Linked DNA regions of Caenorhabditis elegans. The protein of the gene in region 1 purifies or fractionates together with the protein of each later gene. This does not show direct contact. Each region holds a gene or a part of one and is shown in the gene's direction. Other genes may lie near its edges.

What was found.
Region 2: the proteins of ran-4 (region 1) and glrx-10 fractionate together in Caenorhabditis elegans (co-fractionation; one large-scale study listed by BioGRID). This does not show direct contact.
Region 3: the proteins of ran-4 (region 1) and sec-24.2 fractionate together in Caenorhabditis elegans (co-fractionation; one large-scale study listed by BioGRID). This does not show direct contact.

The regions. Positions count from the first base shown.
Region 1 is NC_003279.8:8,589,006-8,592,840, forward strand, and holds ran-4 (putative nuclear transport factor 2), read left to right. Parts: upstream 1-2,209; 5' UTR 2,210-2,211; coding exon 2,212-2,308; intron 2,309-2,349; coding exon 2,350-2,441; intron 2,442-2,484; coding exon 2,485-2,583; intron 2,584-2,628; coding exon 2,629-2,742; 3' UTR 2,743-2,973; downstream 2,974-3,835. Other genes in the region: tmem-208 (Transmembrane protein 208), read left to right, coding at 3,087-3,179, 3,230-3,347, 3,402-3,514, 3,611-3,796. UniProt on the Caenorhabditis elegans protein: Facilitates protein transport into the nucleus. Could be part of a multicomponent system of cytosolic factors that assemble at the pore complex during nuclear import.
Region 2 is NC_003279.8:1,047,639-1,051,227, forward strand, and holds glrx-10 (Glutaredoxin-1), read left to right. Parts: upstream 1-1,957; 5' UTR 1,958-1,964; coding exon 1,965-2,048; intron 2,049-2,766; coding exon 2,767-3,000; 3' UTR 3,001-3,089; downstream 3,090-3,589. Other genes in the region: Y34D9A.7 (PSP proline-rich domain-containing protein), read left to right, coding at 318-548; Y34D9A.8 (Low-density lipoprotein receptor domain class A), read right to left, coding at 3,286-3,491.
Region 3 is NC_003282.8:12,355,202-12,362,587, reverse strand, and holds sec-24.2 (uncharacterized protein), read left to right. Parts: upstream 1-1,795; 5' UTR 1,796-1,818; coding exon 1,819-2,013; intron 2,014-2,077; coding exon 2,078-2,266; intron 2,267-2,313; coding exon 2,314-2,625; intron 2,626-2,669; coding exon 2,670-2,830; intron 2,831-3,135; coding exon 3,136-3,365; intron 3,366-3,423; coding exon 3,424-3,533; intron 3,534-3,585; coding exon 3,586-4,195; intron 4,196-4,562; coding exon 4,563-5,179; intron 5,180-5,229; coding exon 5,230-5,538; intron 5,539-5,582; coding exon 5,583-5,686; intron 5,687-6,185; coding exon 6,186-6,303; 3' UTR 6,304-6,886; downstream 6,887-7,386. Other genes in the region: ZC518.8 (Glutathione S-transferase), read left to right, coding at 680-700, 741-824; best-22 (Bestrophin homolog), read right to left, coding at 7,095-7,198.

The DNA.
Region 1 (3,835 bases):
TATCATGATTAAAAAGAATGAATAATGTTTCTAAATTTGTATAATCCTCTTCCTCTTTTATATTATTTTTATGATTTCTTCTGACTTTGAAGAGAAACAAAATCGGATTCAGATAAATTTCGAAAATTCTTGATTAACTCGGATTAAATGTCTCCTGACAATTGCACAACGAGCAAAACAGATGAAGGGTAGAAGAAGAAAGAGAATTCGTAAGTAAAGAGAATCGAGAAGAGAATAGAAACTGACATAAAAAGTTAGAAGGTTTTATGATTAACATATATCGCATGTTTCTTCGTGTATCGAGAACAGTTTTTTCTCTCTTTCAAATGGAATTTTGAGAGCGAGAAAATTGGCAAATATTATTATTTTTCGTACATGTGAATAGTTAAGAGCTCTCTCCTATAAGAGTATATTTAACTCGACAGGAGGGGTTACTGTACCCATGTACATATTTCTGCGTTGCGTGGCCGCGAATGTGAAAAAACTCGGCCACATTCATGAAAATTTTAATTAAAGGTTTAAATTAAATCACTCATATGGTCAAATTGGCGAACATCATAGTTAACATTTTCAAAATTTGCTATACGTTTTCGTATTCAGTGACAATTACGTTGCTTTTTCTACAAGTTTTATATTTGAACTACGTTCCAATAATTTGTATTTGAACGTTGTATGAACCTGCAAGATGCTCGGAATTACTAAAAATAAAATCTTTAGAAAATCTGGCAGTTTTCCAAAATGTGACTGAGATTTTTGAAAAAAGCTCACATATTCTTCTAAGGCGATTTCACAACTTTTACAGGCTAAAATGTTTTATCTTGGATGGGATTTTCCTTTTGAGAAAGATGTAATTAATACTGTCAAAAATCAAGACCAAAAACTTTAAAAAAATTTTGATTCTCGAACTATTACACAAGCTGGGTAAATCGACACATAGTTAGAGGTTCACATAAATTTTCTTCCATTTTTAGAAAAAAATTTGGGAGTTTTAAAGCTTGCTCAAATTCAGTCAGCAAAATGGTATACAATTTAGTTTTAAAATGTTTGGCTTACTTATTTTCCTTTCAATTACAAAAATCTACATTTGAAAACTAACTGAGTATATGTATCGCTCATAGAATTTTGATAATCATGTGAGAAGCAGTATGTAATGAGTTCGGAATTGCTTGCATTAATTTTGTCAATGAACTGTTACCAAGGTAACCATAAATGTGACTGGATGAGTTTGATGTAATGAGCTCTCGAAAATTGATATCATTTCAGTTCTGGATGATGTGAAAATATAATAGTAACGGTTCTTTATTTTCAGAAAACGTTGGCTTCAAAAGACTGGTCAGGTGCCGAAAAGGGAAGAGTGAAAGAACATACATATATGGTGTTCGCTAAGGCATGAGGATGCGCAGAGATGGAAAATTATTTCAAGTTTCTATAAATTACAGAAAATTGATTTTTGAAATGCCAACATTACGGAGTAAGAATAAAGTTTAACTTCTTATTCAATTGGTAGAATGGAAAGAAATAAAAAATGGAGCAACAACAAAAGAGGAACATAATTTCAGTGGTTTTGTCGTTATTTTGTTGCTTTTCCAGCTCTGTTTTCCATTTTGGCGAGCTCAAAGAGACATAAAAACAGAGCCAACCAACTCTTTTTTCTCTGCGCCTCTTCAACAAAAAGAGTGACGACAAGGCGATTTCTCTGCTCATAACGTGTTCTCTCTCGTTTACACACTCTCTCGCTTTCTGTGCAGTAATCGCGCTCCGCTGGATTATGCTACAAAATGTGCGCGCGATGCTGGCACCTTGCCATTTTATTCTGATTTTCCAATTTATTTAGGCATTTTTATTTTTTTTAATCGGTTTTCTCTTGTGAGGAATCAAATAATTCATAATTATTTTTAATTAAACTTCCCAAGAACGAACAAAACGCAGGAAGACAATACTGTTCTTTCGAAAACTGAAACATGAGGCCGAGGGTTTAAACTTTAAAAACTAAAAAAAAACAATTTGGTTGCTGTTTATTTTTCTCAATGCGAGCAAGACCACTGCTCATCTAACAACTAATTTTCAAAATTTATTGAGACAACCCATCTCGAGTAAATATATAATTCAATTGTTTCGAAAATTATCGTATTCTTCGTTGCTTTTTCCTACCTATCTTATTTATTTTTACTCTTTTTCAATTATTTTTCCCAATTTGTCGTTTTTAAAGGAATGAGCTTCAATCCTGATTACGAAAGTGTTGCAAAGGCCTTCATTCAACATTACTACTCAAAGTTCGATGTTGGCGATGGAATGAGTCGTGCTCAAGGTATTTCGTCTGAAAAAAACAATAAACTTAGTGAATTTCAGGACTCTCCGATTTGTACGACCCAGAAAACTCTTACATGACTTTTGAAGGACAGCAAGCGAAAGGCCGTGACGGAATTCTCCAAAAGTTCACGGTTTGTGCAAAAGTACGAGAGTTCAATAACGAAACACTTTTAGACTCTCGGATTCACAAAAATTCAACGAGCGATCACTGTGATTGACTCTCAGCCTCTGTATGATGGATCAATTCAAGTGATGGTTCTTGGTCAGCTCAAGGTAAGTAGAAGTAGTTTTCAAAAAAACCGAAAAAAAATTATTCAGACCGACGAAGATCCAATCAATCCCTTCTCGCAAGTCTTTATTCTCCGTCCAAACAATCAGGGTTCCTACTTCATCGGAAACGAGATCTTCCGACTTGACTTGCACAACAATTAGATATCAATTCGTCCACTTTCCTATCAAAATGTGTCCCCGTATTGAACAATTTTTCAAGAACTGAATTTTCACCAAATTGCTTAAATATCTATTTCAACCCGGCTTTTTCCATGTTTCTAAATCGGTTTCTTTCCCCACACAGTTTCGTGTCGTTTTACTATTTCGCACAATTTCAAACTTCTAGTTTGCAAATCGGTTCAAACTAAAGAATGAAGTTTTTATCATTTTCTTTCCGAGATATCGAGAAAATTTTGTTTAATTCGTTATTATTAGTGGTTTTTCAACCTTTACAATACCTTTGACTTTTTCAGCAATGACCTCAAAAATATAAAAATTAAATACAGATGGTGAAACAAGCAACAAAAGGGCAGAAAGAGATCTATGAGGAGAATCAGAAGACTGTCACCACTTATAGTGTGGCTAGCACGATTAGCATGGTAAACATTTGTAATTTCACATTTCAACGATTTTTTAAAAATTGTTTTAGGCAATCTACTATTCATCGTGTATGTTTCTGAGCCAGTGCTCTTCCACCGATTATGTATTTTTTGCTGTCTCAGCGCTCGTGCAGATCTTTGCTATTCTTTTCATGAAATCTTTAGCTAGTAAGTTTGTCTTACCCATTAATTTTTTGTATTAATCTGAAATTATGATTTTAGAAGCAAAGCTTGACGATAAAGGACATGTTTTGGATGCTGGTGCCGATTTGAACGATCCAGAAGCATTCGGAGAATACTGTAAAGACGCCATTATTCTGACAGTCATTATTCAAGTTAGTTTTTGCAAAAAAAAAGTGTGGGAAAGTGCGCATTAATAGTTCAAAAATGAAATATTCTATCTTCAAATGTATAATTTACTCTGTTCCCAGATCATCTCACTCTATTCTACATACGGATTCCTTTTGCTCCTCGCCTTTCCTGGAGCAGCCACATACAAATTTGTTGCTGGATTCCTTCTACCATGGTTGACCGCTGGATCAGACTCAGATGAAATGGATGACAAGAAACAGAAGAAATTGGACAGAAGAAGAGAAAAAGTCGTGTACAGACGTTAAATTATAACTTCTAGAAAACAATGTTCCCTAAGTCACTTC
Region 2 (3,589 bases), 7.5 Mb from region 1:
ATTTTTTCTTTCCAAAATTTTTCCAAATTTTTTTTCCGGTGAAATCAATATTTTTCAATATATGTAATTCCAGATTATCGATTTTTTCTTTTCAGAAAACATATTTTTCCAAAAAAAAAAAACGGATAAGAAAATCGATTGCCGGAATTTTGTTGAATACCGGCAAATTCCCAGTTTGCCGATTTGCGGGAAATTTACAATTCCGGCAATTTTCCGATTTGCCGGAAAAAATCGTTTTCCGCCCACCCACCTGATTCAAAAGTCGATATATTTCAAAAATTGATATATTTCCAAAAAATAACAATATTTTTCCACAGGGAGAATCAATTTCGGAATTCATCGGCACCCCGATCTTCTCCCGCCGTGACGTCACGGGTACGTGGATTGAGGATACTGTACCATCGCTCGAAGCGTTTTCCGTCGGCATTGTGCCATTCGAGGCGAAAGAGGAGGAGAAGCCACGTGGCATTTTCAAAAAAATTATGAGTACTTTGAAAGGGATCACTGGAAGAAATAGTGGAGATGATGAGATGAAGAAGAAGGAATAATTTATTGATTTTTTTTTTTTTTTTGGATTTTCGACTTTAAAATTAGCCTAAATTTATCCTAAAATTATCCTAAAAATTAAAATTTCACATGGTTGACAAATTTGCAGTGGAGCGCATTTGCAGAATTTTTTTTTTGAATTTTTTTTTCATAAAAAGCGTAACATTTTCCAAATTAATGGGATTTTTAAAGGAAAAAATTATCCCAAAAATTTTAATTTTCTAATTGAAAAAAGTGTTATTAGCCCAATTTTTAAAGGTTTTTTTTGCAATTTTCATCAGAAAAAGCGTTAAAAATATCAATTTTTCGTGAAAAGTTGATGAATTCTCTCAAAAACTCGGCAAAAAGTACCGCCAAAAATTCAAATTCTCCAATTTTTCATCTCTACCAGCAAATTCGCGATGGAGCGCATTTGCAGAGTTTTTTCAGAAAAATCGTAAAATTTTCCGAATTAACGAGTTTTTTTTTAAGTAAAAGTGATCCCAAAAATTCAAAATTTTCCGATTTTTGAAATTTTTTTGGTGCAAAAAAACTAATTTTCAAATTAAAAAAAAGTGATTTGTCTAAAATAAAAAGCGTTTAAAAAAACCTTTTAAAAATTTTTTTTCCCAAAATTCACGTGGTGCCAGGGGCTGTCCCATCGACGGTTTGATCTACAAAAAATGCGGGAGTTTTTCGCCCAAAAATGTTGTGACGTCAGCGCTTTCTTAACCATGCGAAATCAGTCCCCGCGCATTTTTTGTAGATCAAAGTAGATCAAATCGAAATGAGGCATTCTGACACCACGTGAAAATTTCAAATTCTCCAATTTTTCATCTCTACCATCAAATTTGCGATGAAGCGCATTTGCAAGGCCTTTTTTTAAATTTTTTAAAAACTCCTTAAAGTTAAAAAAAATCATTTAGCTTTAGAAAGCCCAAAAATTAAAAAAAAATTTTTTTTTAATCGAATATCAAAAATGCATTTGTGCTCCACCGCACGGCGGTAATTTCGAAATTTCTTTAAAATTTTTTTTATAAATTTCTGTATTTCACAACTGTATTTTTTCCCGAATTTTCCTCGCCTAATAACACTATTTGTCATGATTCTTACGTCATTGTCGCCGCCGTTTCTCTTTTTCTCTCGCCACTCTCTCATTTCCATACACTATTTCCACTCTCATTTTTATCATCATTTTCTTCAGTTTTTGCTGCTTTTAAAGCCTATGTTTTCCCTTTTTATATAATATCGCAGAATTTTGTTTTTGTAAATTTAATATATATATATATATATTATTTATTTGATGATAATGTGATTTCTAATTTTTTTTTCCCCAATTTTTTTCAAATTCAAATTGTCTCTACGCTTTTCTTATACTTCATTGCCTTTTTTTTTCAACAAAAATTTGAGAAAAAACACCAAAAAATTTCAGAAAAACCATGTCAAAAGCCTTTGTCGACGGACTTCTCCAATCTTCCAAAGTTGTCGTATTCAGCAAATCGTACTGCCCGTACTGCCATAAGGTAACACAATTTTTCTGAAAAATTTGAATTTTCCTCGAAAATTGCTTTTTGTCATCAAAAAAAAAAAAAAATTTTTCTGAACAATTTTGTCCTAAAAAATTTGCTTTTTTCTGGATTTTCAGCGAAATTTCCCAATTTTTTTGAAAAATTTATTCCAAAAAAAATTATTTTAAAAAATCGTGTGCAACAGAGCGCAGTTGCACCAGTATGAAATTTTGCAAATTCAATTTAACTTAAAAATCAAACATTTCTGTATTTTTCTGAAAATGCAGAAATTTTGGGTCTCGTAGCGATTTTTTTTGAGAAATTTTCGGAAAATTGAAGACAACGGCAAAAATCAATAATTTGCGAAAAAATCTGTCACGGGGTTCTGGCATTCCTCATTGAATTTTTCGCGCTCCATTGACAATCGGCTGCCGGACAACGCGTGGGAAAGTGTCGTGTACTCCACACGGACAAATACATTTAGTTTTACAACTGAAATCGAGCCGCGACGCGACACGCAACGCGCCGTAAATCTACCCCAGATATGGCCGAGCCAAATGGCCTAGTTCGGCAAAAACTCTTCCATTTCAATTTATGAGGGAAGCCAGAAATCCGTGAAAATTGAGAAAAATATTATCCATTTTCAAAATCTTTTTTTTGCAAAATTTTTGAGTCTCGGATACATTTTTTAAAATAATTTTTTGAGAAAAATTAAAAAACCCCAATTTTTCAGGCTCGTGCTGCTCTTGAATCGGTCAACGTGAAGCCCGACGCTCTGCAATGGATCGAAATCGACGAGCGCAAGGATTGCAATGAGATTCAGGATTATCTTGGCTCTCTAACCGGAGCCCGCTCGGTGCCACGTGTCTTCATCAACGGCAAGTTCTTCGGCGGCGGTGACGACACAGCGGCCGGAGCCAAGAACGGAAAACTCGCCGCACTGCTCAAGGAAACCGGAGCTCTATAGAATTTGAATCGCCATTAATTTTTATGTATTTGATTTATTTTTTTCTTCATAATTCAATGACACAACCCGAGATAAAAGTGAGAAAAGAGAGAAAAGTAGTACAGCCAAAACACGTGGTGTTAGCAGAGTGTCTCATTGCGGCTTGATCTACGCTGATCTACAAAAAATGCGGGAGAAGAGACGCAGAGTTCTCACATTTTTCTGGGCAAAAAATTCCCGCATTTTTTGTAGATCAAACCGTAATGGGACAGCCTGGCACCCCACGTGCCAAAAAAAAAACGAAATTCAAGAATACATAGAACTGATTAGAATATCGTCTTCGTCGGAATCCTGTTGCAGTATGCTCGGGCCCCCGTGCCCGCCGCCACGTCGATTTCGAAATCCGGATTTTTGTCGTGATCGCCGACGAATCACAGCGACTACGGCAACCGAGAGAACGAAAAACGCGACAAAGGCGAAGAAAATGTGCGAGTATTGGATTGTGACGGTGCCTGAAAATTAAAAAAAAAAGGTTTTTGATGAATATGCGCGTAAAATTCGGTGTGTTGCGAAGTTTGGCTAATTTTTGGCGCATACCATGAGATTTACT
Region 3 (7,386 bases), on another chromosome or scaffold:
AATCATCCGTATCTAATTTCGGTGTTGATAAAATCTTGAAAACTTACACCGACCGACAAAAGTACTAACAGGTAGGTTAGAAAAAGTTAAAAAATAATGAATGATGCTCTGTCTGTGTCCGTGGTCGACAATGTACACGGCAGATGGCGGGCCCGCCGCGAAAAATCGATATTGAAGCGACCGATGATGATTTCATCAGAGATACACGCTGGCCACTGGCATAACCACATTTTTAATTTTTTTTTTTTGAAATTATTAAAGTCAACAGATAGTTTTAATTTATGAATTTATTTTATTTTAATTTTAAAATTTTGAATTTCAGTTTAAAAAATTAAAACCGTTTTTATGTTGATCTAAATAGTAATTTTATTTAATTAAATTTTCAAAATGTGATTTTAAAATTATTAAAAGGTAAGTTTGAGTTTTTCTAACTAAATTGTGTGGAATTTCTCTCGAGAATTGACACAAGATACATTTAAATGACACTTTTTCGGTTCAAAAAGTACCTTTTTAACACTCTGACCATTTAAAATACCGGTCATCCGCCAGAAGTGATTGTTTGGCTGAAATAGTAACAAAATATTGTTATTTTAAGAAACACAATTGGAGAACGGTGTCCGCTCTCACTCTGCGGTGGTGGCGGTCGCTCCAATAGAGGCTTGGCCGGGCGAACGCGGCGATGCCTGCGTATCTAACTACGGTATGCATTCAATGTTTTCTGCCAACCGCACTTTTTACAGAATCCAGGAACACCAGTTTCGGGGGAAGCTTTCACATTCGGAAACCTTTATCAAATTGACAATTTTTCATTTATATTACACTAAAACACTCAAAACACCCTCCATTATCGATTTTTGATCCAATTGCTGAGTTGGAACTTTCTTCTCACTTACTAATAAAACCTGTGTTGAACGCTATGAAAATTATTTAACATCTTGCTGATCTTCTCTCGCTTTGTTCATACGAGGGCCTCCCTCTCGGCGATATTCTTCCACCTCTTCTCCTATTTTTCGTACAGTAAATGTTCTTTTTTGTTCCGCTCCTCTGAATTATTTCAAGGATTACGTGGAAATTGAGAGTGAGAGTGAAGAGTAAAAGAGAAAGCGAGAAAACAGTGATTTTATTGATTTCAGCGCAAAATCCACGTTTCACAATGAAGCAGAAACCGACGACGCCAATGTGTGGCGAGAGAAGAAGGCAAAATGAAAAAGAATTTCCAGCGAGGCAAAGAGAAAGAGCGCGAGACGCTAGTGTCTGTGTGCATCGCGCGCTTGAGGTCGCCTTCCATGGCGTAATTCTTCGTGTTCAATGAGATACTCGAGCAAAATCAGAAAATATTGTCATAAATATTTTTGTTTACGTTGTAAAATCTATTCTAAAGATCGCCGGTGAGAAGAGAGTCGCGAAATTTCGAAGCGTTGCGAAGTTAGGCAAATTTCAAGAGCAATTAATTATTAAACGCTATAAACTTTGCTGAAAATGAAAATAATGACTTTAAAAACTGAAGTGAACATTTAAACGATATTTGCGCCAAAAATAAATTATATTTGTTCAGCAGTATGCTGGTTTTTCGCGCAAAAAAAATTAGAAAAAAATGTGATCACTGATTTTCTCTAGTTGTGCATTTGTTCGTCATTCTGTTTGCACCCATCTAAATCTACCGTACTCTCTGAAGTTATTGATTAAATTTCTTTCGCCACGTTCATTCGTCTCGTCAGCTAAATATTTATCTACCGTTGTGAACTTGTTTTATTTTGTTCTTTTCTCGCAATATAATTTCATTATACAATTTCAGCGGGTTACACGAGCTATCGACGGATGTCGAATATACCGACAGCGCCGGGAAACGTTGGATTTCCGCAGGCGTACGGTCAAAACCAGAATCAACAATATCAACACGTCCAACAATTCAGTCAGTTTTCTCAACCATCTGCGGCTCCGTTAAATAATGCTCCTCCCAATTATGCAGCCAATCCGTTTCCTTTTCCGACTGCAACGACTTCGCAAGAGCCGGTATGTATTGATTCTCATCTTTACTTTCATATTTCCATTTCCTTCCTTAATTTTCTATTTTCAGGTGAAACCCGTATCTCAAATCCCAAATGGAGCACCAAGTTATCAATATAACCATGCTGCGCCAAATTATCCAACTGCAGCTTCAGCTTTTCCAGCTCATTCTGCAGGATTTTCTCATCAACCACCGTCCTTTTCACCCGCTACTCAGCCTTCTATGAACGGCCATCATGCTCCACCACCACCAGCTGTGGTATGGTTAATACTGCATATACAGAAGAATTGAATGTTTTATTTCAGTCCCGACCGCCAGCGTTTCCAACTCCACCACCATCAGTTGGTTCAGCAGCTCCAAGTATTCAGCCTCCGATCCCATCTGCACTTGCTTCAGCCCGACCTGCTCCATTTCCTGCTGCTCAACCTCCACCGGCACCAACTCCAACGCCTTCTTATCAGCAACAAATGGCTCCACGGCCTCAAGCACCAGCTGCTTATCCTCCGGCTTCACAGCAACAAGGATATCCTCCCCAGCCACAGCAAAATTCACAGTATGGTCAACCACAAGTCCCACAACCTCAAATGCAAAATATGAATCAGCAATTTGGACAAATGGTTTATTCATATTTGTTATTTCCCCGTATAAAGTTGATTTTCAGAACATGAGCGGAGCTCCTGGTCCTCAGCAACAAATGGGCGGGTATCGCAATGATATAATTGATCTGATTGCTGAAAGAAATGTTCAACAACTTGGTTTTGAAGATATCGAGATTCAGATTCCTCAACAAGTCGCGAATCCGAATGCTCATGTTGATCCAAAGTGAGGATTTTCTCTTGAAGAAGGAATTCTGTTTGTATAAATAAACTCAAAATGTGGCCGAATGGACGAATTTCGTAGTGAGACTTCTCAAAAATGCCTTCGCTACTGGCTGATATCAGCTAAAATCTCGAATCGCAGCTGTCGGAATTTGACTTTTATTTAGTTTAAATCCTTTATTGCATATTTTGATCGATTATCTCGCATCAAGAAATTGGTTCATCTGACCAAATTTTGAGTCTATACAAGCAAAAATCCAGAATCGTTACTATTGCAGATATTAGAAATATTAATAATTTTCTCTTCAGTATTTTCCGCTCAACACTCGCCCAAGTTCCACAAACAGAAGAACTACTGAAAAAGAGTCGATTACCATTTGCAATAACACTTCATCCGTTCCGAGATGTTAAGAATCTCAATATTATACAAACATCGAATATTGTACGTTGTCGGTATTGTCGGACATATATTAATCCATATGTATATCTTCCTGATCATCGACACTGGAAATGCAATCTCTGTAATAGAAATAACGACCGTATGTTGACTGAAAAATGTGAAATTGAGAAAATGCGAAAACCATTTTTTGTTTTCAGTGCCTGATGATTTCTGCTGGGACCCAGTGACAAAAGCATTCGGAGATCCTCGAAACAGACCGGAAATTCAAAATGCGACGGTTGAATTTATTGCTCCATCGGAATACATGGTATTTTCATATTTTAAACGATGTTTTTCTAAATTTAAACAAGCGATTTCAGTTACGTCCACCTCAACCTGCTGTCTATGTATTCGTGATTGATATTAGTGCTGCAGCAATTCAATCAGGCTATTTACACACATTTGCCGAGCAACTTCTCATCAATATAGATCAAATGCCAGGAGATGATCGTTCTCAAGTGTGCTTCATTGCTGTCGATCAATGCTTGCATTTCTTCTCATTTTCTAGTAATAAGCGGTATCCGAATGAAATGATTGTAGACGATATCGATGACGCTTTTCTTCCATCAGTCACATCACTGCTTGTTCCTATGAAGAAATTCAAAGATACAATTCGAACTTTTATCAAGCAACTTCCCGAATTCTACTCTCAAATCGGCCCAACTTCAAATGGAAATTGCCTCGGATCTGCATTGAAGCTCGCGCAGAGCATGATACAAGAAGTTGGAGGAAGGATATCAATCTTCCAAGTCAGCCTACCAAATCTTGGATTAGGAGCACTGAAAAGCAGAGAAGAATCGACGGAAGGTGGTCAGAATTTGGGGCCAGCAACCGATTTCTACAAAGCTCTATCGTTAGAGTGCACCGGATCGCAGATTTGCCTTGATCTGTTTATGTTCAACACGCAATATGCTGATTTGGCAACTCTTTGTAGGTTTTTTTGGAGAATTCCTTTTATTGGTGAGGGGATGCTGTCAAATTTTTTAAAAACGAAAAACTGACATTTTTCAGATTCGGTGTATCAAAAAACCTCTGCAAATACAGTTTTTATCTTGATACCTGGAAAATTAAAAAAAAAAATCAAACAGTTAATAAATCGTAGTTAGATCGATTTTCCAAAATTTTTTTTCTCGATTTTAAGGTGTTAATTTGTAGATGCTGAATCCGAAAAAATTCCAGTTTTTCGTTAAAAAAATGTAGAAAATGTCTGAAACACCACAAATCCGGGGCAGCTTTCAAATTGTCTGTCAAATTTGAAAGTTAAATTCAAAATGATTGAAAATAATTCCATTTTCAGCTGAAATTGCAAAGTTCTCGACAGGATGTGTCTACCATTTCCCGAACTACAACTATCGAAATGATATCCATCAAGTAAAACGATTCGAACGGACTCTCACTCGATATTTGACACGAAAACTCGGATTTGAAGCAGTTCTTCGTATTCGAACGTCTCGTGGCCTCGCTCTAACCGGTTTCTACGGAAACTTCTTCGTCCGATCTCCAGATCTTTTGGCACTTGCCAACGTGAATCCAGATTCTGCACTTGCGGCTCAAGTGACACTCGAAGAGAAGCTTCCGCAATATGTATGCTTCCAGTCAGCACTACTCTATACATCGAGTAAAGGTGATCGTCGTATTCGAGTACATACAATGTGCCTTCCAACAACTGGTGATCTACTTCAACTTTACAATAATTTTGATCTGAAAGCTACGGTATCCTATCTGGCTAAAATTGGAGTAGAACGATCTATGACTGGAAGTTCACTTGCTGATTCAAGAGAAGCACTTGTAAATGCAGTTGTCGACAGTGTTGGAGCATATCAGAAGGCTGTATCGAGAGGAAGTGGAATGCTTGTTCCACGTGTCGGTCATCTTCGGCTCTTCCCAAGTTATGTGCTGGCTATGCTCAAACATGTAAGCCTTGATTTGTAAAAACTAAATAAATTTAAATAATTAATTTTCAGCCAGCATTCTCCTCGTCTCGTGGCATCCGCCTAGATGAACGAGCCGGCGCAATGTTGATGATGCGATTCAGTCCATTGGACCAAATTCTGTCTGACATTTATCCACGTCTCTATCGGCTCAACGAACTCGCCTCAATGCCAGAAGATCAGTCGCCACCAGCATTACCACTATCATTCGAGCATATCAGTCGTGGAGGTGTCTATCTGATGATAACTGGTACTATTGCCTTTGTCTACGTGGCTTCATCCGCAGATCCAGGTTTCCTGGTTAATGTTTTCGGAACTTCTACGTATAATGATATTGATGAGGTGAGATTTCAATTGAATAGTTTTAAAAACATTTTAAATTACAGTATTCCCTTCTGGAAAGAGATAATGAATTGTCGAGAAGAGTGCACGCGTTCTTCAAGCAAGTCACACAATTCCGATTCTATCTGGGACCAATAATAACGATTAAGTAAGTCTTTAATTTAACATTTATTGAAAAAAAAGTTTTTATTGATTTTCTAAATTTTTTTGCCAAATAAAAACTCAGAGCCGTTTGAAAAAATTTGCGATTTTCGATCTCAACACAACCAAGTATTTGTTTAAATGAAAAAGGATATACGCTTTTTAAAATTACTACTGTATTTTTTAAAGGCTACTCCAAACTCTATGTTTTGAGCGTGGTATACGTTTTTACACATTTCTAAAGAATTTATCGTATAGTTTGTGCAAATGTGTAAAATAACTTAAGATTTAAGAAACGGGTGAAAAACGTATTGTTATCAGCTACAGTACTCCCTAAAGGCGCATGCTTTGATTTGAATTTGAGGACGCTTCGAGACCGGGTATCGTATTTTGAAACATAAATCTTTGTAGAGTTTTGCTTTGAAAAATCTGAAATATCTCTTGAAAAGTTTCACTCAAAGCTTTGATGGAAAAATCAGATTTGCTCAAAAAATTAATTTTTGCAGAGAACACTCGCCTCTCCGTGACGTGTTTGTACGGCGACTTGTCGATGATCGGTCAGAATCAACACATTCATATGTAGAATTCCTGCAGCATTTGAAACGAGAGATTAGTGGTAATTAGTTGATCAATTTTCATCCTCCATGCCGTTCCCATCATCAGTCAGTTCATCCGTGTGACATATCCATTCCCTCTTTTTTGTTCCCGTTTCCCAACAGTGTCCCATGTCTTTTTTTGCTTTGGTGTTTTTTCTTTCTCCGTAATTATTATTATTATTGTTCTTATTTTCTCTTTTTTTTTTGAAAATTCCGTTCTTTCTTCAATGTGCTCGAGTTGAACGGATATGGGTTTATCAATTGATTTTGTGTTTTTTCTTTCTAGTTGTGATTATTCTCCCCGTCTCTTGAAAATCCTCTAAATATTTCAACCATTTTTGGCCCTGCCTCACCATACATTTTATTTGTCGCCCGTCTTCCAAAATTCTTCCAAAAATCGATAAAGTGATAAATACCAAAGTGTATTTCTAATTATTATTATTATCATTTTTCCTTCCCCTCAAATTTCCTGTTCAATCATCCAGCCGACCCCCGTTAGGATTTTAATGTTACTTTTTTCTTGGTTTTTCAAAATAGCAATATTTATTACGATTTTTTGTTGCTTTTTGCACTTTTGTAGCAAAAACTCATGTGAACAGTTTTATTATCAAGTTTTTTTTCCAAGGATCTATGGTTTTTGAGTTGAAAAAACATTGAATTTTGAAACAAAAAACCAAAACTATTATACACAAAAATAAATACTCGTTATGATTTTCCGGCTGATTGGAAAAGACATAAATAACCGGATCAATGAGACAAATATCACAGAGCTTGCGGAATTATATAATGGGGGGTCTCAGTTGGAGGGGGAAATATTGTTTAATGTCGAGATGTTGTCTGTTGTTCTTCTGGTGGAAATACGGCAATTGAATGTGGATGCACTTGATTTGGATTCGATGTGGCAACGTTCATTTCAATGTCACCTGAAAAAGATTATGCTCAATATTCAGAAATTGCTCGAATATTGTAGAATCAACGAAAAAGGATGGTGGTGCGGTAGAGCGCAGTTGCACGAGGAGTATTTTTGAAAAAAAGTTAATTACTAATTATTCATTCTGCAAGCAAAAAAATAATTTTGGTTCCTTGAAAATCGAAAAAAACCAAGCTTTCA